7 linked regions of the Sus scrofa genome follow. The protein of the gene in region 4 interacts with the protein of the main gene of each other region in a pairwise test. Links are inferred from orthologs where the notes say so. Each region holds a gene or a part of one and is shown on either strand. Other genes may lie near its edges.

Region 1 (4,094 bases), on a different chromosome or scaffold from region 4:
CAATGCCTTACACAGCTCAGCCGGCCAGAGGGGCGGGGGTGGGGGTACCATCCGAACTATGGAGGTGGGGTGGGCAGGACAGGTTTTTCAGGTCTAGATGCTGTTTATCCCACACACTCTCTCTCTTTGTTTCTACTAATTGGAAACAGACTCGTGGTCATGTTGCTGAGAAGCCCCTAGAAGTCTGAGCAGCTCTCTATCTCCCAACACAGCGAAATCTGGACTTTTAACAGAAGAACCGAAATTTCGCGCCGCGGGCAAAATATCGCATCTGAGACTACGACGCGCGTGCCTTACCCTGGGTTCCTTCCCGCCAAATCAAGGCAGCCCGATCTTTTTGCAAGGTGGTTTGAAATTTTCTAATAAAAACCAACTCCTACCACCTTGGGTGCAAAGGGGGCGTGGGCATTAAAAGCCTAGTCTTAGGCGGCTGCTGTATGTACGCCAGCCAATGAGTTGCTCATGTACGCATTTTCCACCAAGTGCACAGTCCACTTCTCCTGCATCCGCCAAAAGGCAGCTCGAGGAAAAACAATCCTCAGAGAAATTTTTGAATGTGACCTCACTTTCAATAGTAGCATCAAACAGGGGACAAGCACCGAAAGATTCCTTTGGCTCGAACTACCAAAAAGCACCCCTTCTCCCTCATAAGAACCTACGGGGTTAGTCTCTGAGTTTCACTGAGATCTAAAGATTTTCATTAAAGGGAAAAGTGACAAGTGGGCAGCATTTTTGCAAATTCGAGCCCCCAGCTTCGACCGCTGCACGTTGGCCTGTCCCTCCCGCTTGCGCGCTCCCGCGCGTTCCCTTGCTTGCCCCACGTTACTTTGACTGACAGCCCGGCCCCGCCGCTCTCCTTCTCTCCGACCTTCCCATCCCCGGTGCCAATCTTCGCGTCTCGCCGCTTTCCATTGGCTGGTTTCGGCGTCCCGCGGCTCCTTCAGGAACAGTTCCTCGCCGAGCCCGGGAGGACGCGGCTGGCGGAGGGGAGGTGGGGGTGGATGGGAGGAGAGACGGGGGAGACGGCGGAGAGGGAAGCAAGCGGGGCGGGAGAGAAAGGAGGGAGAAGGGGAGACAGCCCGTCCGGTGCCGCGCTGCCATAGGCTCTGGGGAGGTGTCGCGTCACCACCCCACGTTGGGTCTGGCGCATGCGATTGGCTGACACGGGCCTTCCCGCTCCCCCCTCTCCACTCGCCGGGCCCACGTACCCCGCCAGCTCCTCGCTCTCGCCCCCGCCCGCGCAGGGCTGGGCGGGGCCGGCGCTGGTTAGCTCCGGAGTGTGAAACCGCGTGTTAATGTAACCGGCGCGAGAGGCGCGGGCGGCGGCGGCGGCGGCGGCGGTGGCGGCGGCGGCTGCAGGAGCAGCAGCAGCGGCGGCGGGCACCCTCTGCCCCGCGTCCCTGAGGCAGCCGACTGCGCTACCCCCACCCTCGCACGGCCGGGCGGCTCCCTCGCCACCAGCCCGGACCTTCGCTGGCCCTTGGCGATTACTCCGGACTCGCCCACGGAGTTTGCCTGCTGGGGAAGGAGGCCAAGCGTCGGAGCGCACTCTTGCGCTTTTCCCTACCATCGAGTGGATGTCGTTCCCCGGGTCGTGAGAGAACTTTGGAGCGGGCTGGAGCGCCCTTTGCGGAGAGGTAGACGAAGAGAAGGAAAGAAAGAGGGCTGACGGAGAGGATCGGAAGAAGGGGTCCGGAGTGGCCGGGCGGGCCGTGTGCGGCGAGTGTGCACGGGCCGTGTTGCTCGGATGCGCCCAGGGGTCGAGGAGCAGCGGAAGGCTGCGGGACTACTCTCCGCCGAGTAGTCCCGTCGGGCCAAGAGGGTTTGTACAACCGCGGAAAACAGCAAGAGCGGCCCGCACGGGGCGTGCCGAGACGCCTCCCGGCGCGCCCTCCACACTTTGCCCACCTCGTCGTCATCCCGCGCTCCTCCGCTCGGGTTAAGCCTGCGGAGCGCCGGACACGGAGCCTCCCCCGGGGCCCGGACCTCGCCCCTCGCCGCCTCCAGGGACCCTGCGAGCGCCCGGTCTTGGGCGCCTCCCGGACCTGCAGGGGTCGGCTGTGAACGTCGTCACATTTGTTTTGTGGGGTTAGCGGGGGCGCTTGCCACCTGCACCTCCCCGGCTGCTGGCGCCGCGGGGAAAACCCGGCTAGGAGGCGGACCGGGAGAAGAACGGTGGAGAGCAACCCGCCTGGATTTGTTTGCCCGGGACGGGTGCGGCACACGCGGATCGCTGAGGGGAGCGCAGCGAGTCACCGCGCCCCCACCTCCTCGTCCCGGCGGCCCAGGCTCGCGATTTGGAGTGCGGCCCCGGGCGCCGGCGGCGCCCCGCAGGTTCTAGGTGCAGCGGGGCCCGGGGTGCCCTGTGATGTGGCCCTGAAGGTGGGAGCCCGCACCGGCGGGAACAGGAGCTGCTGGGCGCCGAGTGGCCTCTGCGCCCAGCGGAGCGCGCCTGCGTGCGTGGCCAGCGCGCCCCCCGCACTTCCCGCTACTGCCCGGCTTCTCAGCTTAATTTTCCTCGGCGGGATTAAAGTTGGAAATTGAGCGGAGAATTGAGTTGCCCGGGAACGGAGCCGCGGCCGCCGCCAGAGCGATGTTCCCACAGAGCCGGCACCCGGTGAGGCGCGGCTGGCTGGCTGAGTGGGGGACAGGGGGTGAGGGGTGGTAGGCGCTCTTGCTGTGTGGTAAGGAGATGGGTGGGTGCTGCATTCTGGCCGAACCCCTGGCTTGGGAGGTCGAGGGCCCTCCTCTCCTGGGTTGGGGAGTGGGCTGAAACTCTAAATTTCCCCGTTTGCTCTGTGCCCCCTCCTACTTGAGGTCTAGACTGGGCGGGTGGGGGCGCCCGGAGAGACTGGGGTTTCTTTCCAGCAGACACATCCTCCCCCTTCCCAGAGGCGAGTAGGGCGCCCCCACCTTTGTTTCTCGTCTTGCCTATTTACATGTCAATGCGGCCCCCTTTCCAGCAATGCTGGAGGTGGCCCCGGCGGCTCTGGGAACGGGAAGAGTTGTTTCTCTTCTCTGGTCCCTGGGGTCATTATCGCCCCCGTGAAGGAGGGGCCGGCGGCGACAGCGACAGTCTGGCCCAGTTCTCGGCCGCCCGCCAGGGAGCCCCTATCCCTTCAACCAGGTGACCCTTTCGCACTTAACGCGATTCGTCCTGGAGGCTAGAAGAGGCTCCAAGCCATTTTAGAAGCATCGGATCTGGGGAGGTCCACCTTCCCCCTGCCCATAGTGAAGGGCAAACTCGAGTCCGTAGCTCCGGTTTCTTCCACTTCTAACTTCATTTTTTGTTTATGTCCCACCCACTCTTTCGTCCTCTGACTTACTTCTTTATCCCTCCGCCCGCATCCCCGGTCCCTCGGTCCCCCTGGTCGTCTCTAGACGCCGCACCAGGCTGCAGGCCAGCCCTTCAAGTTCACTATCCCGGAGTCCCTGGACCGGATTAAAGAGGAGTTTCAGTTCCTGCAGGCTCAGTATCACAGGTGCGTGTCCGTCCGTGCCCGGTGAGTGGTCGCCCCGGCAGCGCCCTGCCCCTGGTCGCCCATCCCAGTGTCGGCGGTGGCTGTACTTAGTACTTGCGTCCAGGCGGTGGCGTGTGGAGTCGCAGTTAAGACCTGTCATTCACATTACCCACTTTCCTGGCTGTTCCTGGGCCGCCTCTTCTCTTGTCTCCTCCTCCTCCCATTGTTTCCCTTTTGCCCGTTTGCTGCTGTTCCAGGGAGCCTTTTTTCGTGTATTTAGGAGTTGCATGAGAACTGTCAATATTTGCACTTCATTTATTTATTTTGCAACAGGCTGAGCTGAAATCTTGGTTCAATCGATGCCCCAGCTCTGGAGTGCAGGTTCAGGGAGGCAGAGCCGGTGTTGAAATCGCTGTTTGCCATACTAGAATTGGGTTCTTTGAGACAAAGTCCGTTATGGAAAGGTAGCTGCTTTTAGCTGTTCCTATCATTAGTGAGGGTGTGGATATGTGTAGGGTAAAGCTCACCTGCTTTGGCCTCATTGTGGGTTGCATTGGGTAGCACAAGGGATTTGAGTCCCATTTATGTCCATCTCAGCTTTAGTCTCTTTATCTAATGAAGAGACCTGCTTCA
Region 2 (3,500 bases), on a different chromosome or scaffold from region 4:
CAGGCCGCTGGAGCCCAGAGCCTGCCTCCACTTGCCAGCAGGGTGGCCTCGGGTAGATGCCACCAGCTGTCCGCCCATGTCCCTTTGGCACTTTCTCTGCTGCAGAGATTCTCACTGGAAAACCTGAGAGGGCCTATGGGCTTTTTGTTCTGGAAGAAACCCAGAAGCTGGACTTTCTGGAAAGTGCGTGTTCTAGAAGCAGCCCTCCAGCAGGGGGGTGGCGGCTGCACACCCAGGCCCCTTGCCCCCGGGGGTGGACGGCTGTGAGGCTCCTGGGGTCCCCAGTGCTCTGAGCCGCAGGCACCCAGGCAGCTGTCCTGGTCTTCTCTCTCCGCCGTATGTCACGTTCTCAGACCCCACGGAGCTGTTTTCTGGGGTCGCCTCCCAAATCAGGCTCTTGGACTTGGTTTTTCATTTGAAGATTGACTTTGGGCAGAACCAAGACAGCGCCACTGACCATCTGTAAAGGAGAGAATAGGCAAACTGAACACTGAAAGTGGTCAGAGTCCAGAAGGTGGCTGAGGGGGACAGCGGGGTGCCGAGCGCCTCGTGGGTGGCGGGGCCCTGGGCCTTGAGCGGTGGAGCCTGGGAAGGACAGGTGATGTGTTGCCGGGCCAATCTTGCTTTCGTGTGCCAACATTTGCCACCAGACAGTCTCAGCTGTGCTTGTGTTTGCCTCCCAAGGCCCCCTCGTCTTTGGTGAGCCCATCGCTGCCAGCCTGGGGTCGGACGGCACCCATTACTGGAGCAAGAACTGGGCCAAGGCGGCAGCCTTCGTGACCTCCCCTCCCCTGAGCCCGGACCCCACCACGCCCGACTACTTGACCTCCCTGCTGGCCTGGTGAGAGCCTGGGGTGGGGGTGGGGGCTGGGCGGGGGTGGGGTGAGAGCCGGGTCGGGGGGGCCCTTTGGGATGAGGGTTGAAGGGCTCATTCTGACACACTTGTGGTGGTGCCCTTGGGCTGGGTGCCCCGGGAGAAATGGTTACAGCAGACCCTTTGGGGGCCTGAGGGTCTCTTTCATTTTTTTTTTTTTTAATTATTTATTTATTCATTGGGTTGTTTTAGTGCCATACCTGTGGCACATGGAGGTTCCCAGGCTAGGGGTCGAATCAAAGCTGCAGTTGCCGGCTTACACTACAGCCACAGCCACACCAGATTCTTAACCCACTGAGTGAGGCCAGTGATTGAACTCAAGTCTCATGGATACCAGTCGGGTTCATTACCACTGAGCCACAGCGGGAACTCCTGAGGGTCTGTGTCATTCAGTAACTTCCATCCACATTTACGGGTTACCTCCTGGGTGTTCAGTGATATTTAAGCCCCTTCTGTGCCCCTAGCGCTGTGGTTTATTGGGAAATGCCCAGAATTAGGGGTGTGAGGGCAGCCTCCTGCCTCAACCACTAACTGTGTGTCACCCCGGCCCTGTCACGTAATCGGTAAGGTCTGTGCCTCGGTTGGCTCATCTGCAGAGTGGGGAGAACATCGTACCTACCTCAGAACTGGGTGGGCGTCAGTGTGGGGAGAAGGCCTGGACTTCCAGGCTCACAGTGGCACTGCGTTTAGCTTCGCTTCCTGCGCACAGTAGGAGCACAGCTGCTTTCATCCTTCTCTATCTGCCAGCCTGAGGGAGGAACACTCCAGGCGCAGCAGGCTGAGTGGTGACGTGTGCAGTCTGCTCTGGGGGTGGAAGTGCATGCTCGGGAGGCTTCACGGAGGAGGTGACATCTAAAACCTCAGTCGGACCAGGGGCCTCCAGCATCCTCTCCCCTCAAAGGGAAACACAGGTCCCCACCCTGATGGTCGAGGCGGACCCTGATCTGGCCTCACTTCCCTCTCCTCCTGCCTCAGCTCCCTCGGTCCAGCCCACTGGTCTGCCACCTGCACCGCAGGCAGGATGGTGCCCCAGGACCTTTGCACTCACTGTGCCCCTGCCTAGTGCTCTTGCCTTAGTCATCCTGTGGTTTCCTCTTCACCATCTTTAGACCTTTGCTGGAAGATTTCTTCTCAGTGAGAGATTTTTGATCTTAAATTGGCAGCCCCACCCCACCCTAACCCCCCTCCCCCGACCGACCATCCGTTCCTGGTTCCCCGGCACTAGAACGCCAGCCGATAAACAGAGGACTTGGGCTCTGCTCACAGCTGCCTCCCCACTGCCTCAGCCACGCCATTGACACAGGACGTGTGCCGCACACTTCTGGTGAATAAAGAGTGAATGTCGCATCTAGATATATTTTTGGACATTTCGATGGTTGCTGATGCACCCCGGGCTCCACATGGAGGCCAGCCTCTGCCCTCCCTGAAAATCCCAAAATAACACTCCGATCAGGCCATCGATTCAGATGCCGGTTCAGGGCTCATCATCCAGCCCCAGAAAATGTCCTCTCCACAGCCCGAGGGACACAACTGCAAAGCTCGTGCACTTGGGTCACATTGCCACGAGCAACGAAGAGCACTTGGTCCTGCGGGCACAGCCCGAGACACCCGCCAGCCTTATGCCCACAGCCTCACTTACCAAAGGAAGACCAGTGTCTGCACTTCCTCTTTCCCCGTGTGACCTGGCACATCAGTCCAGGGGTGTCACCTTCCTTCTGGCACAAACATCCCCGACTTTGTGAGACACCCAGGCCCCTGCTGGAGGCTGCATGTCTTACTCACTTATTTATATATTCACTCATCCATTCGTCTAGGCATCCACGGGCTGTACTCAGGGTTTTCCTTCTTCCTGCTTTTTTAAACTTTGTGATAAAACTCACATAACATTCACCATGTACTCAATTTTTTAAAATTATTTTATTGATGTGTAGTTGGTGTAGAGTGTTGTGGGAATTTCTGCTGCATAGGAAAGTGACTCAGACACACACACACTTTTTTTCTGCTGCACAGGAAAGTGCTTCAGATACACACACACACACACACACACACACACACACACACACTTTTTCATACTCTTCTCCATCATGGTCCAGCAACGGACGTGGAAGGCAGTTCCCTGTGCGGCTCGGGAGAACCTCGTTGTGTGCTTATTTGATACATAGTAGTTTGTATCCGCTAATCCCAGCCTCCTAATTTATCCTCCCCCGTTTCCCTTTGGTAACCATAAATTTATTTTCTATGTCTGAGAATCTATTTCATTCTTTCTTTCTTTCTTTTTTTTTTTTTTTTTGGTCTTTTTGCCATTTCTCGGGCTGCTACCCTGGCACATGGAGGTTCCCAGGCAAGGGATCCAATTGGAGCTGTAACCACCGGCCTACCCCAGAGCCACAGCAACGCGGGATCCAAGCCGCGTCTGTGACCTACATCACAGCTCACGGCAATGCCGGATCCTTAACCCACTGAGTGATGCATGCATCGAACCCGCAACCTCGTGGTTCCTAGTCGGATTCGTTAACCACTGAGCCACGACGGGAACTCCATGAGAATCTATTTCTTAAATAAGTTCATTTGTATCATTGACTTAGATTCCACATATAAGCGGTACCATATATTTGTCTTTGTCTGG
Region 3 (3,500 bases), on a different chromosome or scaffold from region 4:
GAGCCATGATGGGAACTTTACACATACTCTACTCTCCCCTTTGCCATCAACATTTCCCTCTTGCTTGCCTTTCTCAGTCCCAAACAGAGTGACCAACCTGTCTTGGGTTTGCCTTGGACTTTTATGGTCTTTTTACTGGAAATCATTAAAAAGTTATTAAAAGTTTTGTTTTCCCTGATAAAATATAAGTTCTTTAGGTATAAGAAAACCTCTTTTCCCCCTAAAATCTCTATCACTAGAACCTAGCAAAATACTTTCCACAGAATAGTATTGTTAAATAATTTAATCAATACCTTAAACCCTCAAATGAAAAGGTAATAAGGAATTTGTAATGGACAAGTAAGCCATACTTAAGGCATCATCTGAGGCTTCACATGGCAAGGACTCATGCATCTTTTGGTACAACAAGGGACTACCTAGAATAATACCCAACCTCCAGTTGGTACAAACTAAATATCTGGTAAGGTGAATACTATTAAATAATGATAGTGGGAAAAGAAAGAAAAGTCATGCACTAAAAAGCCTCAGAATACCAAGTATAGAGGAAGATAAACAAATGTGCTGACCAAAAAATGTAACACAAATTTCATTTCCTATTCCTAGAATATTTTTCATATAAACAGCTCAGTTAACAGACAAATCTCACTTTCTTAGTTTAGCAGTTATGGTTTCTCAGCTAAAATATTACTAGAACTATCATGTAACAGATGTGCAGACATAATGAGATTCCTTTAAATTAGCATCTAAGATATTCATGACTATTATGACATGATTGAAGTTATCCTTTTTATTTTTCCACTGAAATGAGCAACAGAATTGGATAAGACTTAATTCTCTACTTATATACATAGAGACTTATTAACCAGAAATACCGTATTTTGATGTGAGAAACACTGAAACGTGGCAATGCTCATCACACACTTAAAATAATGCACATACATAGAATTGCTGCTCTAAAAAAAGGAAATCTTTCTCTTTAAGAAGAGCATAATTCTGTGGAAGTTACTAATGTTTTCGAATTTTGCTTGCTATGTGGTTATATGATCTAAACAGTTTTTATTAGTACTTTTATTTTTTTGAAGGCGAGGCCCCACACAATTTGTCACTGATCACAGAACACAATTTGTCACTGATTGCCAAACACATGAAAAGTTAAGGAAAGAAAGACTCCTTGGGATCAAGTTGCTACTTTGCCAATGGTTCCCAGTAGTAGCAGCACTGGATCTAGCTATAGATCTGGGAAAAGCCAGATGCTGAGACATTTACAAAGATGAAATTGTTGACAGGTTATAGGAGGAGAATCAGTGAAGGGCTCTCTCTTCTAAGCAGAACTTGGAATAGTGACATGGGACCCTTCTATAATGGCTAATCCGACATAGCCCTTCCTCCTGAGGTAAAACTTCTTCTCTGTCACCATTACTAGAGTCTTACTTTTCAATTGCATGCCTCTACTGGGCTGGACATCAATGCTAGTGAAACATACAGTCAACCCTGAGATAAGTCTACGTACACTCAGGGGCCAGGCTCAAGCAATCAAACTCAACTGAACCAGGGTATCTGAATTTAGATTTCCAGATGGAACACATTAGTCTATTACTGACCAGGAACTCCAGCCTCTGGCCTTTTTGCTTTCCTATTTTCAGGATGTGTTTTTACTCTAGTACTAAGGCATTAGGCAATTACTAGCTTTGGAATTGATAATATAATGCCTTTAATTTTATTCTTTCTTTTGTCCGAATGGAATTATACCCCATCACGTTTATGATCATCTGTTCTGGATCATCTCAATTAAAATAATTAATGAGGAGTTCCCATTGTGGTACAAGAGAAATGAATTTGACTAGTATTCTTGAGGATGTGGGTTTGATCCCTGGTCTCGCTCAGTGGTCTGGGGATCTGGCGTTGCCATGAGCTATGGTGTAGGACACAGATACAGCTCAGATGCCATGTTGCTGTGGCTGTGGCACAACTCTGATTTGACCCCTAGCTTGGGAGCTTCTATATGCCACAAGTGTGGCCCTAAAAAGCCAAAAAAAAAGAAAGAAAAAGAAAATGATTAATGACTTACTCTTGTTAGATTGCATATTCTAAAAATCCGGTTTATCACATCACAGTCCATTGAACAAGACATACATTCCACTTGGATAGGGCCATATCTTAGCATCCCTTCTTCTGGCCAGTACTGAGGGCAGCCCTAGATGATGAATGTTTGAAAGAAAAGGAAAACGAGCATTATTTTTTTCTAATTATGGTAAGACTAAAGCAGATTTTAGCATTTTATTACTACTTCTTTAAGTCGTGTTAAAGTACATAAAAGCAACCTATAACCATTAACCTGGGACAAGTCGACTTCATTTAACATCACAATGGAGGTACAGCCATAATCATACACTAATCTCCAGAAGTCTTTCACAGTGTTTGGCAGAGGGTATTGTGTGACGATGAAAGCAGCTGGTTGCCTGTAGCTCTGTGAAAAAACAAGGTAGATGGAGAAACATAAGAACTTAAAAGAAAAATTAGTTTTACAAGCAGATTCAATATAGGTAATATAGGACAAGTAAGACACAACAGCTTCATATGGAGATGGAGCCAGACTGTTGCTTAAGCCATGAAATAACAGATTTGGACCAATGTAAGGTCCTGCAACTAGTTATTAGTCAACCTTAGAGTATAATTTTGATGCCTGAGTAGTAATTCAAGCCAAGAATTTGCTTTATGTTGTTGATAAAAGTAATATAGGACAGATAGCCCAAAAAAAGGTAAGAAAGAACTTCTTGAGGTTAAGATCCTCCATGAGCTACCTGTTGGGTTGTTTCAATTTTCCAAAAATAATCAGTAGGAGAGGCTAAAGGCATAAAATTCCCAGGTGTGCATGTGTATCTCTATCTATCTATCCATCCATCCATCCATCACCTTATCAGCTATTATATGACTGGCTCTCCTCCACTCCAAATAAGAAAAACCATATGTGCCTCAAACTTATATGCTTTTATATTATATTGACATTATAAACACATGCTGTACATCTTGCAAGCAATCCATTTCCCATAGTTTTCTGGGCATTTCTAATGTATATGAGTTATCAGAATGATAGTTTTAATCATTTAAGATTTTTCAAGTGCCAAAGAGTAAAATCAATGCATTCTATGGCTCCACCTAAGAGGAAATGGCTCCTTGTTTTTACTAAATGCCCCTTGATTGGGACAGAACACATTATCCCTTTCCAGAAGAAGAGAATATGCCCATCTGGCTGGGCTATCTGTTATTCTACAGACTAATGATCTATACCAAAAAAGAAATATATATTTCCATGTAGTAAACTAATTATTTGTAAAACTATAAATAGACAGTTGCCTGAGATGGATTTCTTTAGCGCTGATAAAAAGTTGTCAGTGATCTCCTAACTCATTTGTATGATATTACTCTTGAAGTTCCTTCAGGTGTCTTAACAGCAGTATAAAAATTGATCTTTGAACTTCATAGGCCCTATCACCATTTGG
Region 4 (3,164 bases):
GCAAAGACCCTCTCCAAATAAGGTCGCACTCGGGTGCTGGGGATTAGGGTTTCAACATGGATTTGAGGTGTGAGAGGGACACAACTCAACCCAAAATGTAACCTAAAAATGAATGGCAATAAAATCCAACGCCAGCAACATGGTTACCCGTGGGCATCTTGAGATTTTGCAGAAAACCCAGGCAGCTCTGTCCTTACCTTCGATCACCCAGGAACCCCTGCTGGGGGCCCAGGGTCGGTGTTGGGGAGGGGGGCGTGTGAACAGGGGACAAAGTCCGGGTGGAAGAGCTGAGTGCTCTGACCACAGGTGAAGCCAAGGACCCTCCGAGGTCCCCAGACCCTGGTGTGGAAGGACCTGCCTCTTGACGAGGCCTCAGCAGGGAGGGGGAGTGCAGGGGATTCGTTCCTCTCCCACCCCCGCCGCAGTGGGTATCTGGCAATGTCTGGAAACAGTTTTGTGACAGCTGGTCGGGGGGCACTTACTGACAGCTCCTTGTAGGTGGGGGCTGCATTTCTGTGACCCGAGTCCTTCAGAGAAAAAGAACCGCCTGGGGCAGGGTCAGCTGGAGCCTCTGGGTGGGGGCGGCCGTTCCAGAGCTCAGGCCCCTCCAGCCCTGCCAGGGGGCGGTCAGCTCTGGCTTCAGTGGATCCCGCTGCATAGAGGGGTTTCTAACGCCTCTCCTGGTCCTGTCTTGGTAACTTCTCGAACATCCGGCTGAGTGAGGCCTGGGTGGCTTGGAGAAAGACCCTCTAGGCAAGAATAATCCCCACTTCACCCAACCCACAGGTCCGTCTCGACAGATGATGACCAGTGAAAATCCACCAAAGGGTTTTAAGCAGCCTCACCCTGGGCCACTTGAAATGAAATTTGAGTCACCAACTAAGCGGCCTGCTGCAGACCCTGCATTTAGAAGGGTGTGCCGGGACCGTGGAACTGCCACCCCTTCTCAAGGCATCGCATGGCACATTGTTTTTTGTTGGGTTTTAAGTGGCAGGCACACAGCCTACCTCTCAGCCAAAGAGAATAAATTATTTGAGGGTCTTTAATCCTTAACCCCCCCCAAAGCCCTCCCTGTCTTTTCCAGGCTCGGGAATCTGAAGTCATTGCCCAGGTCACAGCTAACGGGTGACCATGGTTCAAGCCCAAGGCAGCCTCTGGTCCAAGCTGTTGACACTGCAGTGGCAGACCGCCTTTCTAGCCGGGCTGCGTCACCCTGGTGACAGGTCCGGGTTCTTGACCTGGAGGGGGGCCTGGGTCTGCTGGGGACATGCAGCTGTGCGCCGGGCAAGGGGCTGGGGCTGCCCAGGTCTCGCGCTCCCCGCCGACTGGGTGCCCGGAGCTGTCGGGTCCGGCAGCACCTTCTCTGTGGCTCCCGGAAGCTGCTGCCCAGGCGGGAGCTGTCCTCACCCCCTCTCCCGCCCCCAGTTCCCTGACATCGTGGAGTTCAGCGAGACCATGGCCAACGAAGGCAAGACCGTGATTGTGGCCGCCTTGGACGGGACCTTCCAGAGGAAGGTAAGGCGTCCGGGCCTGGGACCCGGGAGGCGGGGGGCCGGGGCCGTGCAGAGACGGGCTCCTGGGGCCGCGGACCGGGTCCGCCGGCTGCAGGCGCCGGGCTCTGGGGAAGGCCAGGGCAGGGCCTCGGTCCCTGGCTTCCGTGCTGGGAGGCAGCCTTTCCGGGAAAGGGCGAGCTGAGAGCGCCCGTCTCTGGTGGGACCGCAGGCTTTCGGGAGCATCTTGAACCTGGTGCCCCTGGCCGAGAGCGTGGTGAAGCTGACGGCCGTGTGCATGGAGTGCTTCCGGGAGGCCGCCTACACCAAGAGGCTGGGCGTGGAGAAAGAGGTAGCTGCCCTGCCTTCTCCCGGGGGCGCGGGCGGGCGGGGCGGGGGCCGCCGCGCCCCCCTCAGTCCAGGCACCTGGTGTCCCGTGTCCAGGTCGAGGTGATCGGAGGAGCGGACAAGTACCACTCCGTGTGCCGCCTCTGCTACTTCAAGAAGACAGGGCTGCCCATCGGGCTGGACAGCAAGGAGAACAGAGAGAACGGCCTGGCGCTGGGCGTCAGGAGGCTGTTCGGCCCCCATCAGCTCCTGCAGTGCAGCCAGGCCAACTGAGGCGCCGGCCCGCCGCTGAGCCCCGGAGGCCGCCTGCGCCCCAGGAGGAAGCGGGGGCGGTTGTCCAGCACCAGGAGCTGCCCGCCCTTCCGGCCGAGGCCGGCGGTCTGCTCGGCACACTTCCCTCCTGGGCCGCCCGCTGGCCTCTCTCAGTTCCCGTCCCCGCTGCTGGGCCGCTGCTCACAGGCCGCCCCAGGCCGGAGCTGGCAGCTCCGTGGCGAGGGGTCTGGCCCCGGCAGACGTCCCCTCCGCTCCCCCGGGGTGAGGCTGGAGCCACAGCCGCTGACAGGGGTGCTGCTGGCCTCTTCCCCCTTTGTGGCTTTGGCTGCCGAGTTTCTGTTCTTGCTGGGAAGCCCGAGCCCCCACCTCTGGCTGGCACCGAGCCTCTCGCGCACACAGACTGAGCCCCTCTGAGGACAGCCAGACTGGGGCACTCTCACTTCCCTGTGGCCTGCAAGCCCTTCCGGGGCTCAGCTCCCAGGGCTCCTCTTTTAGGGAAGGGCTGTGGCCTTCTGTCAAGTTCTCTGCCATGAATAACCACCTGGAAAAGTTACTGTGTGGTGAGAGCACATTCTCAAACCGCCTGGGGCTTCCCGGGCCTCGCCGCGGAGAGCGCTGACGTGATTCGGGTGCGGGGATTTCTCTCCAGTTCTTTTTCTAGTTCCGCTGTCTCTTCGCCGCAACCGGTTTTGGCTGAGAGACGGCCATGAGGCGTGTCCAGAGAAGCTTTCCTGGCTCTTCTGTCTGGTTGGGCATCCAGACAAGAAGGGTAGATGGAGCCCGGGGCCCAGGCTGGAAAGATGAGGCTTTGGTCCGTGCTGCCAGCTCGTGCTGCGAGGCCAGAGTTTGTGAACAGACACTTGACAGTCCAGGAGCCAAGAAGCCCAGCTCTGCTGTGCCTCGGAAAACCGGGCTGTGGGCGGCTTGTGTGGAGGCGAGGCTGCACCGCAGGGGGTGCCAGGCTCCCCATCCTCCCGGCTGCTCCCTCCCCCTTGGCTCTGCTTGGTCCCAGGTTCCAGAGGTGCAGTGCAAGGGTCAGACTGATTCCCAAAC
Region 5 (4,104 bases), on a different chromosome or scaffold from region 4:
GCACCATGGTGTGAACCGGAGAGCCATACCGGTGCCCGACCGCCCGGGGACAGTCCCCTTTACAGTAGCGAGGGTTGTATTTGTGTGGGGCCACAATCCAGTTGTCCCACTTCAGCTGACTGAAGCTCAGTCTAAAGTCGTGGAGTTCACACTCGTTTTGGGGAAAAAGAAACTGTTTGAAGTATTCACTCAGATTGAATGAAGCTGGAACCAGAGGCTTCTTCAATTCAGAGCTTACAGTGTCCTGAGCTCTCCGGTGACGAGAGGATGGTACACCCTCAGACAGCCCTCTTTTCTGGTCAGGACCCTGGGAAGGCCTCCTTTTCCAGGGGAGGGAATACCACCTGTGATAGGCCTGTGTGCTTGTGTCGTTCAGATATAAAAGCAGTGAGGGGGCTGCCAGAAGAGTCATGTTACATGGACTTTCCTGTGCTGAAAGATGCTGGAGCTGGTCTTTCACACACGTAAAGTCGATGGACATGTGAATCTCTCTCTTGTTGGAGACCACTAGGGGCTGAAGGATGGCCGTCACATCAATCTCAATCCATTTATGTTTCTTTTGAAATGTGAATGGTGAGTTCAAGGTAAATGAGTATGGAGCTTTAGGCAGAGTCTTGTTAGAAAGCTCTGGTTCTTTTACCACCAGGCTGCACTCACATTTAACAGGGGAGGGAAAAGAAATGGAGTTGTTCCACGTGTATAACAAGACTGACTTGAGTAAATGTTCAACAGCAGTAACACGATCCAGGTTAAACCGCAGGTCCCCTGATGGAAGGGTTCCTGAGAAGAAAAAAGAGAATCCACCGGTAATGCTGGAGACAAATCAAACAAAATCAAAAGTCAAACCAAGGAATTAGTTCCTCAGACTGTGCTTTCGTGAACCCTTTCTTTTCCCACTTCCTCAGGCCTCAAAAGTGGGGGTGGGATGGAGGTTAAGAAAACGCAGGAAATTAGTACTGTAATTAAGTCCTAGCACTTACAGCTGGATACTTTATCACCAGAAATTCACAACAGCTTGGGTGGTGGTGAATTAAAACAGGAAATTGTTACGCTCTGAAGTTTCAGAATCTTAATAATTTGCTCCAAACATAGAGAAGGCTGAAACAAACAAAAACAAAACAAAACAAAAAACCCAGCATTTTTCTCCTGGAGAGTCTTTAAAAAAAACTATAATAAAGACGCCAGGCTTGTGGAGATCCCGTCATGGCTCAGTGGTTAACGAATCCAACTGGGAACCAAGAGGTAGCGGGTTCGATCCCTGGCCTTGCTCAGTGGGTTAAGGATCCAGTGCTGCCACGAGCTGTGGTGTAGGTCGCAGACGCAGCTCGGATCCGGTGTTGCTGTGGCTCTGGCGTAGGCTTTTGGCTACAGCTCCGATTCGACCCCTAGCCTGGGAACCTCCATATGCTGCGGAGTGGCCCTAGAAAAAGCAAAGAGACAAAACAAACACCAGACTTGTTAAGAAAACACTCTTAAGTCCTTACAACTGAATCAAAGAAGACTTAATTGTCTAAGTTGATTTAGAACACTTGAGATTGACAACAAATGGAGATTCTAAACCTACTATAACAATACAGGACTTTAAGGAAGGGGGATTTTAAATAGCTACATACGAACGGCTGGGTTACAAGGGTTTTCAGTTTCGGGTTAGTGAATATAGTTTTTTTTTCCTTTTAATAGCGCTGCTCCCTTCTCACACTCACGTAAGATCACTGATGAACACTTTGTTCTTCTAAGGATCGACTGTTCCACATGGGGACTTAAGCTTTCTCCTCACAGAAAGCAACAAACATGAGGAAAATATCCAATTTAATAAAGCAGACCAACAGCTGAGATTTTAGGCACATTTCCATGCCAGCATTTGGTAGAATAGGAAAAATAAGCAAATGGAAATCAAAATACCTCATTTCCAGTCTTGACTTGTGATCCTGGACAACACGCTCACCTCTGTCAGCACTTTCCCCAGCCTTTAGAGCCACTAAGTCTTTTTTTTTCTTTTATCAAGGCCACAGCGGCATATTGAAGTTCCCAAGCTAGGGGTAGAACTGGAGCTGCGTCTGTGACCTACAGTTCCGCAGCTCACAGTAATGCCGGATCCTTAACCCACTGAGTGGGGCCAGGGTTCGAACCCATATCCTCAGATACTAGATGGGTTCCTTACTGCCAAGCCACAACAGGAACTCCAAGTCTCTTCTAGCTCTAAAATTGCATCATATTAGCCCACCTTAACTCACGGGAGCATTGGGCAAAAACAACAAGATCAAGTACCGCATTTGCTTGTATTTGGATATTGAGTATCACAAAGTACAACACAAGTCAAGGAGCAAGGCCCAGCTTCTTTCAGCAATTGAAATGCAGACCCTTTGTCTCCCTCCACCCATTAAGCCATATACTCCTACACACCTGTCACCTGGTCCCCAGGAGCCTGCTTATGCTGGGCACAGGGTGTGAAGAGCCGGACAGTGTTGTAGAGGTGACTTCTGTTGGCTTTGGGGATCCCCTCCTTGGTAGCATATGTTTTATACAGCCTCTTCATGTAGCGCAAAGCTCTGGAGTCTGGCTGCAGCCTGGGCAACCCCCCATGCCCATCATACAGAACATTGAAGAGGGGGGAAGGGAGGCCAGATCTGTGTCTCTCATCTGGAGGCCGCAGCAAGGACCAAGGCTCAGCCTCAGATTCCAACACAGCACTAGTTGCAAAGTGAGCTTCTCTTCTAGAAGCCTGAGAACCACAGCTAACAGGAAAACAGAACAAGGCAAAGCAGCAAAAACAAAGGAAGAATTTTCTGGGAAGCGCCATAGTTTGGAAGAACTAGCAGGGAACACATTTCCCCATACCAGTCTTCTTAAAAACCAGGAAGAGCAAAGGTTGGTTTCTTAAATAAATTTTAGGTGTGTGGGTGGGCTAGGTTCATTTCTGTAATCAGACCTCAAGGATGCCTAGCTGAAGATAATTTTTATCAGCTGTGTGTCGGCTATAACACCCTATTTATTCAATTTGTCCTAATTAGATACAGATTTACTTGGTTATTCAGCTTCGGTCTCCCTTTTCCCCTGAGATTTACTTAAACATCTCAAGTTGCTATACTAATCGACTAGCTGTGCAGCTGAAAGGCTAAGAGGAATTAAGGAATGACCTTAAAAACACCAATTTTTTTGTGAGAGATTAGGATTCTTAAAACGTTTCTTAGGTGCTTGCTGAAATTCCCATGACATGCGGAAAAGCTAATTTATTATTCATGATGATACGCAGATCTGTTGGTATGCAATTTATGGTATTAGGTTTACTCCTTTCATTCTCACCACCTCTCCGCTTCCAGGTGCTTAGAATAATTATTTACTGCAAGTTACTTCGGAGGGTGAAAGTCACAACTGGCACTGAAATTCCAGAGAGCAGAGAACTGTTAAGTTCCCTAGTTCTGAAAAGGAGCTTAGGAAGGATGTATAATTGGAAGACTGCAACATGCTTTAAAAAGTAGGACGTCACCTTTGATCCTGACATTTTAAAATGTAGTATCTTGATGTCTTTACTTTCCACATTTATCTATACATACTTTTAGTTGAAAGGTTTAGATATTTTCAGGTGCTGGAAAATCAAAGTTTTATTTTTCATCGATCGTCCAGAAGGTGGGAGAATTTTCTAGGGTATTTGTGTTTTCATCTGTTTCAAGTATGTTCTTGCCTCTGGTCTGAGATTAGGTTAGAGATAATGTTTTAGAGAAAGAAGACAAGGCTGCACCTTAAATAGCTGAGTACACTCAAGGTACAAGATAAAGAAGCCGTCTATTCAGTACCTAGGCTGATAAAACCGAGGTATATCTGTAAATTTTAGGTTTATCGCCTGTTCAGCCTCCCTGGCCCTTGGTTAGGAAGGGTTATAAAACACAACCAAACTGCTGAAAACGAGCTTGGTCTTAAATGACATATGACCAGCAATTCCGTGTACGGAACATTCACAGATACGCTGCATCAAATGAAAAAGTCAGTCAGCTGTACAGGGCGGCAGTAGCCGCCTTAAGTAGAAAGCATTTTCCAAACAAAAACAAAAACAAAAAACGGCATCACCTGCAACATTCCTGCCTCCCTTCCTTGGAAATGGAATGA
Region 6 (3,500 bases), on a different chromosome or scaffold from region 4:
CACACCTGTGTCTTCTTACTCTCTCGAAAGGGACCAAAAACAGAAACAACCTTTATTGAAGTCAGTATCCAGAGAGATTGAGGAGGTGAATTGTGTGAAGAGTTATCACAAAACTATGGTAGCACAGAGAATGCAGTTTTGTCACATCTTTCATTGTATAATTACATTATTTGACTGACAGCTGATAGTGATAGGTTGTTAGTGAGACAACTTTTTCCCCATAGAAAGCCCACCATAGTAGAAGGGCTGACTACCTTACTACAATCATGTGTGTTTGGTTAATTTTCATAAACTGGAAAGCTGGAAAGGATTTACATGACTTGGAGAGACTTCCTAAATCACCTAAGATGCTCTAATTTGACCAGTAACTCAAATCTTTAAACATCAGATAATACCATTCACTAAAACTTAAGCAGTGAAAGACACAGTACTGAGCTCTTATCATGTATTTTCTTATTTAATACCAACTAATTATTCTATTTTGCCGTGAAAGAGAGGACCGGAGTTGTTGAGTAATTTGCAAGAGTTATCATTATGCTATGGACAAAAAGCAATTTTATATAAAGGCCAGAATAAAATAAGCCTAACTGTGGAATAATAATTCATAATCTGTTAGTCATGAATTCAGTGTGTTTAAGAATATGTTTTCTATGGTTATATTTTTAATTTTAATTTTTCAAATTCAGGGTTTCTTCCCCAAATAAATATTTCATAGCAGAGAAAAATGGGTTTCTTTCTTACATAAAATTATGTTACATTGTTTCTTGCATAAAATTTTATTACTTTAAAGGTCGTGAAAGAGCAAAAGCTTTATAAAGATTTTTACTATAACCTCCAATTAGTTATATATTTAGAATTAATAGCATTGAGCCGTTAGATTTAACTCAAATTTGTGCATTATTTTAGATAAATTTATTCAGAATCATAACAGACTACTACATCTACTAAAGAAAAGGCCACTCATTTAATTCCCCAAACCTCTGTGATACCCTGAAAGAGCTAGTGGAGTTACTTTTTTTTGCCCCAATCCCATGTCACACCAGGAACCTAAGCTGCTACAGTGACAGTACAGGATCCTTAACCCTCTGTGCCACAAGAGAACTCCTTGAACTACTTTTAATAGTTATTTACTCTGAAATCAGATTTTTAAGTATAATAGCAATGAATTAAAACAAATTTTTAATGCTGCCAAGACCATTTAATCTTACATTTAAAATGTAGGATTGGATGTAGGAATACTACTACTAAACTTTAAGGATTTTGTTTGTTTGCTTTTTAGGGCCCAGCCTGCAGCTTATAGAAGTTCCCAGGCTAGGGGTCAAGTTGGAGCTATAGTTGCTGGCCTATACCACTGCCACAGCAACACTGTATCTCCCACCTACAGATTGAGGCCAGAGATCGAACCCACATTCTCATGGATACTAGTCGGATTCGTTTCCGCTGGGCTACATTGGGGAACTCCACTTTGGGGTTTTTTATTCCACTAGTGATACTGTTCTTGTTTGTGGGTTTTTTTTGTTTGTTTGTAAACCCTTTTTCAAGGTTATACGTTCATCTGCTTTTTCTTTTGATAATGAGGGATAAAAGATGAGTCAATAAGCTACATGATTTTGAATTTAGTGGTTTTATTTTCATTGTAAGGCTGCTCGTTTTTTTTTTTTTTTTTTTTTTTTTTTTAGGGCCACATCTGCAGCACATGTAAGTTCCCAGGCTAGGGGTTGATTGGAGCTATAGCTGCCAGCCTATGCCACAGCCACAGCAATGCCAGATCCGAGCTGCTTCTGAGACCTAAACCACGGCTCATGGCAACACCAGGTCCTTAACCTACTGAGCAAAGCCAGGAAATCAAACCTGCATCCTCATGGATGCTAGTCAGATTCGTTTCCGATGAGCCATGACGGGAACTCCTGTGAGGCTGTTTTAAATCATTTCTACCAAAATGTCCCTCCCTAAAGAAGCCAAAATTTATAAATCTATCAGATGGGGCTACTTTTTCTTTCATAGACTCTTTGAGGTGCCAAATATAGGAAGGATATTCAGAAATTTAAACAAAACTAATTTTTATACTGACAAGTGGTACTTATTTAAGCCATACTTCAACCTATTTTGTCTTATACTGCCTGACTTCCAAGTCTCATTCAATATCCTATTAATTTCTGATGGTAGAAGATCCTTCAAAGCAATGAACAGTTAAAAGCTTTCTCATGTAGATAGTTTTAAAATAAATAAATAAAATTATTTGTTGAAGAACTATTAGAGACAAGTGTAAACTGCATTTTATTGGGACTCTTTCATTGAAAAGACCTGGATATTTGTTTTTCCTCAGTGGGAGATAACATTTTCTTCCTTGAATCTCCTGCTGCATTTACTTTTCATTTTGATATTTCAGAAATATAGGTTTCATATATTTTTATGGGTTTTTTTTTTAGCCAAGAAACATTCATTATGCTTTGTAGCAAGATAAAAAATTCTTTTAAAGTTGCATGAACAATTCCATGTAAGGGCATAGCCTTACCTAGATCAGTAGGTAATTTTAATTTTGCATTCTAGGAAATAACAGTACAACAACTAATGGCTCATTTGGACTCCATCAGAAAAGACATGGTCATCCTAGAAAAAAGTGAATTTGCAAATCTACGAGCAGAGAACCAGGTAATCAAGTCTCAAATTATTATTAATAAAACAACTGATTTCACAAGTGTTATACTTAGTGAATCATAGGACTCAAAGAATTACTTAATGTGGTTAATAAGTAATGATTTACAAGCTTTTAGATAAAAATATACATGTTTAGCCATACCTAATCTTTCTTATGTATATATCATAGTTTCTTGAATACTGAAGAATAAGAGTTGTATTTTATAAAATTTCTAGTTGTTGGGAGTTCCCTTTGTGGCACAGAGGAAATGAATCTGACTAGAATCCATGAGGATGCGGGTTCGTTCCCTGGCCTCTGCTCAGTGGGTCGGGGATTGAGCTGTGGTTAGGTCACAGACACAGCTCGGATCCCACTCCTAGCCTGGGAACTTCCATATGCTGTGGGTGTGGCCCTTGTTTGGATGATGTAATAATTATTTCTGTTACTTAAGAGAAAAATATTCCTGTAATTCAGTCAGAACTTTGTTATAAACTAGCTTAAATATTTTAAAATTTAGAATATCAATTATTTTTTTTCAAGTAGAATACAGTAGGTTCCCCCCTTACTGCTTTTTTACTTGCTACGGTTTTAGTACCTGTGATCAACTGAAGTCTGAAAATCTTAAATTGCACACTGTTCTGAATAGCATGATGAAATCTTTTACCATCCCCCCAGGATATGAATCATCTCTTTTTCCAGTGTATCTATACTGTGCATGCATCCCACTGATTAATATATAAGGAAAAACTATACACATATAAGGTCAGGACTGACTATTCGAGGTTTTAGACATCCACTGGGAGTCTTGGAACATATCCCCCATGGATAAAGGGGGAACCACGTATTAAAATATAAATGTATT
Region 7 (4,149 bases), on a different chromosome or scaffold from region 4:
CCCTCCCTGCAGGATTTCTCAGGCCTTTACTTTGAGAGTTGCTGGTCGTTTAATTTCCCTTTATGCAGGCTCTTAAATGGAGAGATAGCTTAATTCGCACCAGTCACTATTATCACCAGAAAACATCTCTGGGCAGCAGAGTAGGCTCCGCAGGTAAAGGTACAGGTCTCTACCTGCTTTTTAGGAGCTAACACTTGGGTGTGTTACAGACACACCTAAAGAACCAGCCAAATTGTAGGGGCGACAAGACAGGGTAAAGGCAGTGTACACAACTTGCTCGGGTGTAGGGGTGGGGAGAGGGCTGGAGTGGGCTAGGTTTGCCGGAGGTGGTTTTTTGTTTTTTCTTTTTAGGGCCGCACCCTTGGCATATGGAAGTTCCCAAGCAAGGGGTCGAATCCGAGCTGCAGCTGCTGGCCTATGCCACAGCCAATGTCAGATCTGAGCCCAATCCGTGACCTCTGTTGCAGCTTGTGGCAACGTTGTATCCTTAACCCACTGAGCAAGTCCAGGTATCGAACCCACATCCTCATTGATACTAGTTGGGTTCTTAACCTGCTGACCACAACGGGAACTCCCAGAAGTGAGTTTTGAAAGACTAACGGAGACGGAGGGTAGAGGGAAGTTGGGAGGGGTTAGAAAATGCCAGGGATGTTCTCAGTGCTGTAGGTAATGAGGTGGAAGGAGGAAAGAAAGGATGTGTAGACCAAGGCACTCAGGACCAGGCTCCACTGGCAAACCATTCATTCACTCAAAAATCATTTATGGAGTTCCCCTGTGGCTCAGCGGGATTTGAACTTTTGTGGCTCTGATTACAGCTGTGGCGTGAGTTCCGTCCCTGGTGCGAGTACTCCTGCATGCTGTGAATGCGGCCCGAAAAAGAAATCATTTAGGTGCCCATATGTCAGGTAGTTTTGATCACGTGTTACAGTGATAAAGGCGACAGAACGCCCTTCGGTGGGGATGAGTGAGACGTGTGCAAGGAACAGACACGAGAGCCAATGTGGCTGAAGCACGGCGATCAAAGGGCAGAAAAGCAGAGGCCAGGGCTGGCTGGCGGGCAGGGGTCTGATCTTACAGGGTCTTGCAGGTGGTTAGGAGTGTGGCTTTTACTCTGAGGGCAACAACATGAAGTTTCATTCATGCTGCAGCAGCCTTACAAAGTAGGCAGTCTAATCCCAGTATACTTTAGGACGATCAGGGTGCGGTTAAGTAAGTTGTTCAAGGTCAGAGGCAGGCGAGAGGGCTACTAAGACCTGCCGGCTCTCCCCGACCCAGGGCTGCCTGCGCGGGTCTGGGCAGGCGCGCGCCACGGCCGCACTGAGCATGCGCTGCTGCCTACGGAAGCCGGCAGGGAGGGGGCGGGGCCGACACTGGCGGGCGCGGGGGAAATGGCGGCGGCGGCTGCGGCGAACGGGACCGGAGGGAGCAGCGGGATGGAGGTGGATGCAGCAGGTAACCGACCGGGAGGGAGCGGCTTCTGGAGACGCCCTTGGGGCGCGTCAAGGCCTTCCTGGACTCCCGGGGAAGTCGGGAGGGCGGGTCAGCGGCGCGTTCCCTGGGATAACTTGCGGGAGGGATGTATGGCCCGGCTCTGCTGGCTTCCCCTCCCATCTCCCGGGGGGAACGTGGGACCCGGACTCTCACCCTCTCTTCCAACTGCTTAGTCGTCCCCAGCGTGATGGCCTCCGGAGTGACTGGCAGTGTTTCAGTCGCCCTTCACCCCCTCGTCATTCTCAACATCTCAGACCATTGGATTCGCATGCGCTCCCAGGAGGGGCGGCCTATGCAGGGTGAGTGTTCGGCGTAATTCTCTGGCCTTCTTTTCCTGGTCATCTCCCCCAAACGGTGGTCCTTCCCTTTCCTTTGCTGAAGCCAATTCTTCCGCCGCAAACCACCCGTTTCCCTAGTACTGGGTTCACTTGACCTCAGACCCTCAGGCTATACTGATTTAACTAAGTTTCAGGATTCTTTACCCTCACCTCTTGTGTCCTCTCCTCCAGTGATTGGGGCTCTGATCGGGAAGCAGGAGGGCCGAAATATCGAGGTGATGAACTCCTTTGAGCTGCTGTCCCACACCGTGGAAGAGAAGATTATCATTGACAAGGAATATTATTACACCAAGGAGGAGCAGTGTGAGAGGGGAATAGAGGTGGGGGAGAGGAGTGGGAGTTAAAAAAAGAAAGAAAATCAGAATAGGGAAGGTGGAGAGGGTTGGGGGGAAAAAAATAAACAGGAGATGAGCAGAATGGAGGCCAAGTGACGAGAAGGTAGCTGTAGAGATCTTTAAAAAAGAACATATTTGGGAGTTCCCGTCGTGGCTCAGTGGTTAACGAATCCGACTAGGAACCATGAGGTTGCGGGTTCGATCCCTGGCCTTGTTCAATGGGTTAAGGATCCAGTGTTGCCATGAACAGTGGTGTAGGTCGCAGGTGCAGCTCGGATCCTGCATTGCTGTGGCTGTGGTGTAGGCCGACGGACACAGCTCCAATTGGACCCCTAGCCTGGGAACCTCCATGTGCTGCGGGAGCGGCCCTAGAAATGGAAAAAAGACCAAAAAAAAAAAAAAAAAAGAACATATTTGGTTACTTCCCACAAAGTAAGGAGAAGATAGAAGAGATGACTTACTCTAAACTGAGCCGGGATGGGATGGGGAGAAGCTGGTTAAAATCCACCAGGAGCTTCAAATTAAAGAAGCGATATTTAAAAAAAAAAAAAAAATACTCTGTGCTCTGGCCCTTTCCTCCTCAGTTAAACAGGTGTTCAAGGAGCTGGAGTTTCTGGGTTGGTATACCACAGGGGGACCGCCTGACCCCTCTGATATCCACGTCCATAAGCAGGTATACACACTTCCGTTTGCACGTTGGGGCGGAGGACAGAGGATGAGCGGGAGAAAAATGGGCCCTGGCACTCAGGTGCATCTGCCCCCTCTTCCAGGTGTGCGAGATAATTGAGAGCCCTTTGTTTCTTAAGTTGAACCCTATGACTAAGCACACAGATGTGAGTAATACTGAGCCCGTGGCTACTTTGTCCTGCTTGTCCATTGCTATGCCTACCCAGATTTTAATTCTCATCCTGTTTTTTACTGTATCGCCTCTGTTGAATTGACTCTCCCTTCTCTTTACCAGCTGAGACTTTGGGTGTCATTTAACCTCTAAACTGCATTTCCCCCATGTACTAAAATGGGATAATTCCTACTTGTAACTTGGGGACATAGAAAAACGGAATGCGAAAGGGCCAAGCCTGGTTTGGGGCCCTTCAGGTACGTGTGCTGTTACTAAGAGCTCTTCGCCCATCTCCTCTTTACAGCTTCCGGTCAGCGTCTTTGAGTCTGTTATAGATATCATCAATGGAGAGGTAATGCCATACCCTTCAACTCTCAGACCCTGCTCCCGGTGTTTCCTGCTTTTGACTCTCTCTCTGTGCCCTGTAGGCCACGATGCTTTTTGCTGAGCTGACCTATACCCTGGCCACAGAGGAGGCTGAACGCATTGGTGTAGATCATGTGGCCCGAATGACAGCAACAGGCAGCGGAGAGAACTCCACTGGTAATGCAGGCTGGAGGGGTTTCCTTCGCAGCGGGGGGTGGGACGTGTTGGCCCCATGCCTTCTCAGCCTTGGCCTGACCCTGTGTAGTGGCGGAACACCTGATTGCGCAGCACAGCGCCATCAAGATGCTGCACAGCCGCGTCAAGCTCATCTTGGAGTATGTCAAGGCCTCTGAAGCAGGTAGGACAGGTGTCCCCCTGACACTTGAACCACTTTTTCTCTCCTTCCTGGGGAAGCAACAGTATCACATTAATGCAGCCCTTTGCTGTGCCTTTAGGAGAGGTCCCCTTTAACCATGAGATCCTGCGGGAGGCTTATGCTCTGTGTCACTGCCTCCCAGTGCTCAGCACTGATAAGTTCAAGACAGACTTTTATGATGTGAGTATAAAGCCCAGGATCAGGAGGGTGGGGCTCATGCCACCATTTCTGCATGCAGGACATTGGAGCCAGAGCCCCTGGGAAACTGGTTCTTTGTTTCCTTGCAGCAATGCAATGACGTGGGACTCATGGCCTACCTAGGCACCATCACCAAAACGTGCAATACCATGAACCAGTTCGTGAACAAGTTCAACGTCCTCTATGACCGACAAGGCATCGGCAGGC

The links.
Region 1: the proteins of TK1 (region 4) and transducin-like enhancer protein 1 interact in a two-hybrid assay, tested with the Homo sapiens proteins (2 studies listed by BioGRID and IntAct). The link is inferred for Sus scrofa from reciprocal best matches to the Homo sapiens genes TK1 and TLE1.
Region 2: the proteins of TK1 (region 4) and CRMP1 interact in a two-hybrid assay, tested with the Homo sapiens proteins (2 studies listed by BioGRID and IntAct). The link is inferred for Sus scrofa from reciprocal best matches to the Homo sapiens genes TK1 and CRMP1.
Region 3: the proteins of TK1 (region 4) and PTPRK interact in a two-hybrid assay, tested with the Homo sapiens proteins (2 studies listed by BioGRID and IntAct). The link is inferred for Sus scrofa from reciprocal best matches to the Homo sapiens genes TK1 and PTPRK.
Region 5: the proteins of TK1 (region 4) and GDF9 interact in a two-hybrid assay, tested with the Homo sapiens proteins (2 studies listed by BioGRID and IntAct). The link is inferred for Sus scrofa from reciprocal best matches to the Homo sapiens genes TK1 and GDF9.
Region 6: the proteins of TK1 (region 4) and CCDC90B interact in a two-hybrid assay, tested with the Homo sapiens proteins (2 studies listed by BioGRID and IntAct). The link is inferred for Sus scrofa from reciprocal best matches to the Homo sapiens genes TK1 and CCDC90B.
Region 7: the proteins of TK1 (region 4) and COPS6 interact in a two-hybrid assay, tested with the Homo sapiens proteins (2 studies listed by BioGRID and IntAct). The link is inferred for Sus scrofa from reciprocal best matches to the Homo sapiens genes TK1 and COPS6.

What each region holds. Positions count from the first base shown.
Region 1 is NC_010443.5:234,367,817-234,371,910, reverse strand, and holds the start of transducin-like enhancer protein 1, read left to right. Parts: upstream 1-1,294; 5' UTR 1,295-2,593; coding exon 2,594-2,617; intron 2,618-3,381; coding exon 3,382-3,482; intron 3,483-3,550; exon of another isoform or gene 3,551-3,917; coding exon of another isoform or gene 3,918-3,925; intron 3,926-4,094. UniProt on the Homo sapiens protein: Transcriptional corepressor that binds to a number of transcription factors. Inhibits NF-kappa-B-regulated gene expression. Inhibits the transcriptional activation mediated by FOXA2, and by CTNNB1 and TCF family members in Wnt signaling.
Region 2 is NC_010450.4:4,789,675-4,793,174, forward strand, and holds part of CRMP1 (dihydropyrimidinase-related protein 1), read left to right. Parts: intron 1-684; coding exon 685-841; intron 842-3,500.
Region 3 is NC_010443.5:35,249,372-35,252,871, reverse strand, and holds part of PTPRK (receptor-type tyrosine-protein phosphatase kappa), read right to left. Parts: intron 2,468-3,500; coding exon 2,336-2,467; intron 2,195-2,335; coding exon 2,069-2,194; intron 1-2,068. UniProt on the Homo sapiens protein: Regulation of processes involving cell contact and adhesion such as growth control, tumor invasion, and metastasis. Negative regulator of EGFR signaling pathway. Forms complexes with beta-catenin and gamma-catenin/plakoglobin.
Region 4 is NC_010454.4:3,792,161-3,795,324, forward strand, and holds the end of TK1 (thymidine kinase, cytosolic), read left to right. Parts: intron 1-1,425; coding exon 1,426-1,515; intron 1,516-1,722; coding exon 1,723-1,842; intron 1,843-1,934; coding exon 1,935-2,111; 3' UTR 2,112-2,664; downstream 2,665-3,164. UniProt on the Homo sapiens protein: Cell-cycle-regulated enzyme of importance in nucleotide metabolism. Catalyzes the first enzymatic step in the salvage pathway converting thymidine into thymidine monophosphate.
Region 5 is NC_010444.4:135,181,652-135,185,755, forward strand, and holds the start of GDF9 (growth/differentiation factor 9 precursor), read right to left. Parts: upstream 2,801-4,104; coding exon 2,404-2,800; intron 781-2,403; coding exon 1-780. UniProt on the Homo sapiens protein: Required for ovarian folliculogenesis. Promotes primordial follicle development. Stimulates granulosa cell proliferation. Promotes cell transition from G0/G1 to S and G2/M phases, through an increase of CCND1 and CCNE1 expression, and RB1 phosphorylation.
Region 6 is NC_010451.4:17,423,610-17,427,109, reverse strand, and holds part of CCDC90B (coiled-coil domain-containing protein 90B, mitochondrial), read left to right. Parts: intron 1-2,550; coding exon 2,551-2,652; intron 2,653-3,500.
Region 7 is NC_010445.4:8,001,353-8,005,501, forward strand, and holds the start of COPS6 (COP9 signalosome complex subunit 6), read left to right. Parts: upstream 1-1,349; 5' UTR 1,350-1,388; coding exon 1,389-1,452; intron 1,453-1,664; coding exon 1,665-1,790; intron 1,791-2,000; coding exon 2,001-2,132; intron 2,133-2,748; coding exon 2,749-2,837; intron 2,838-2,934; coding exon 2,935-2,997; intron 2,998-3,306; coding exon 3,307-3,354; intron 3,355-3,430; coding exon 3,431-3,545; intron 3,546-3,633; coding exon 3,634-3,726; intron 3,727-3,823; coding exon 3,824-3,924; intron 3,925-4,031; coding exon 4,032-4,149. UniProt on the Homo sapiens protein: Component of the COP9 signalosome complex (CSN), a complex involved in various cellular and developmental processes.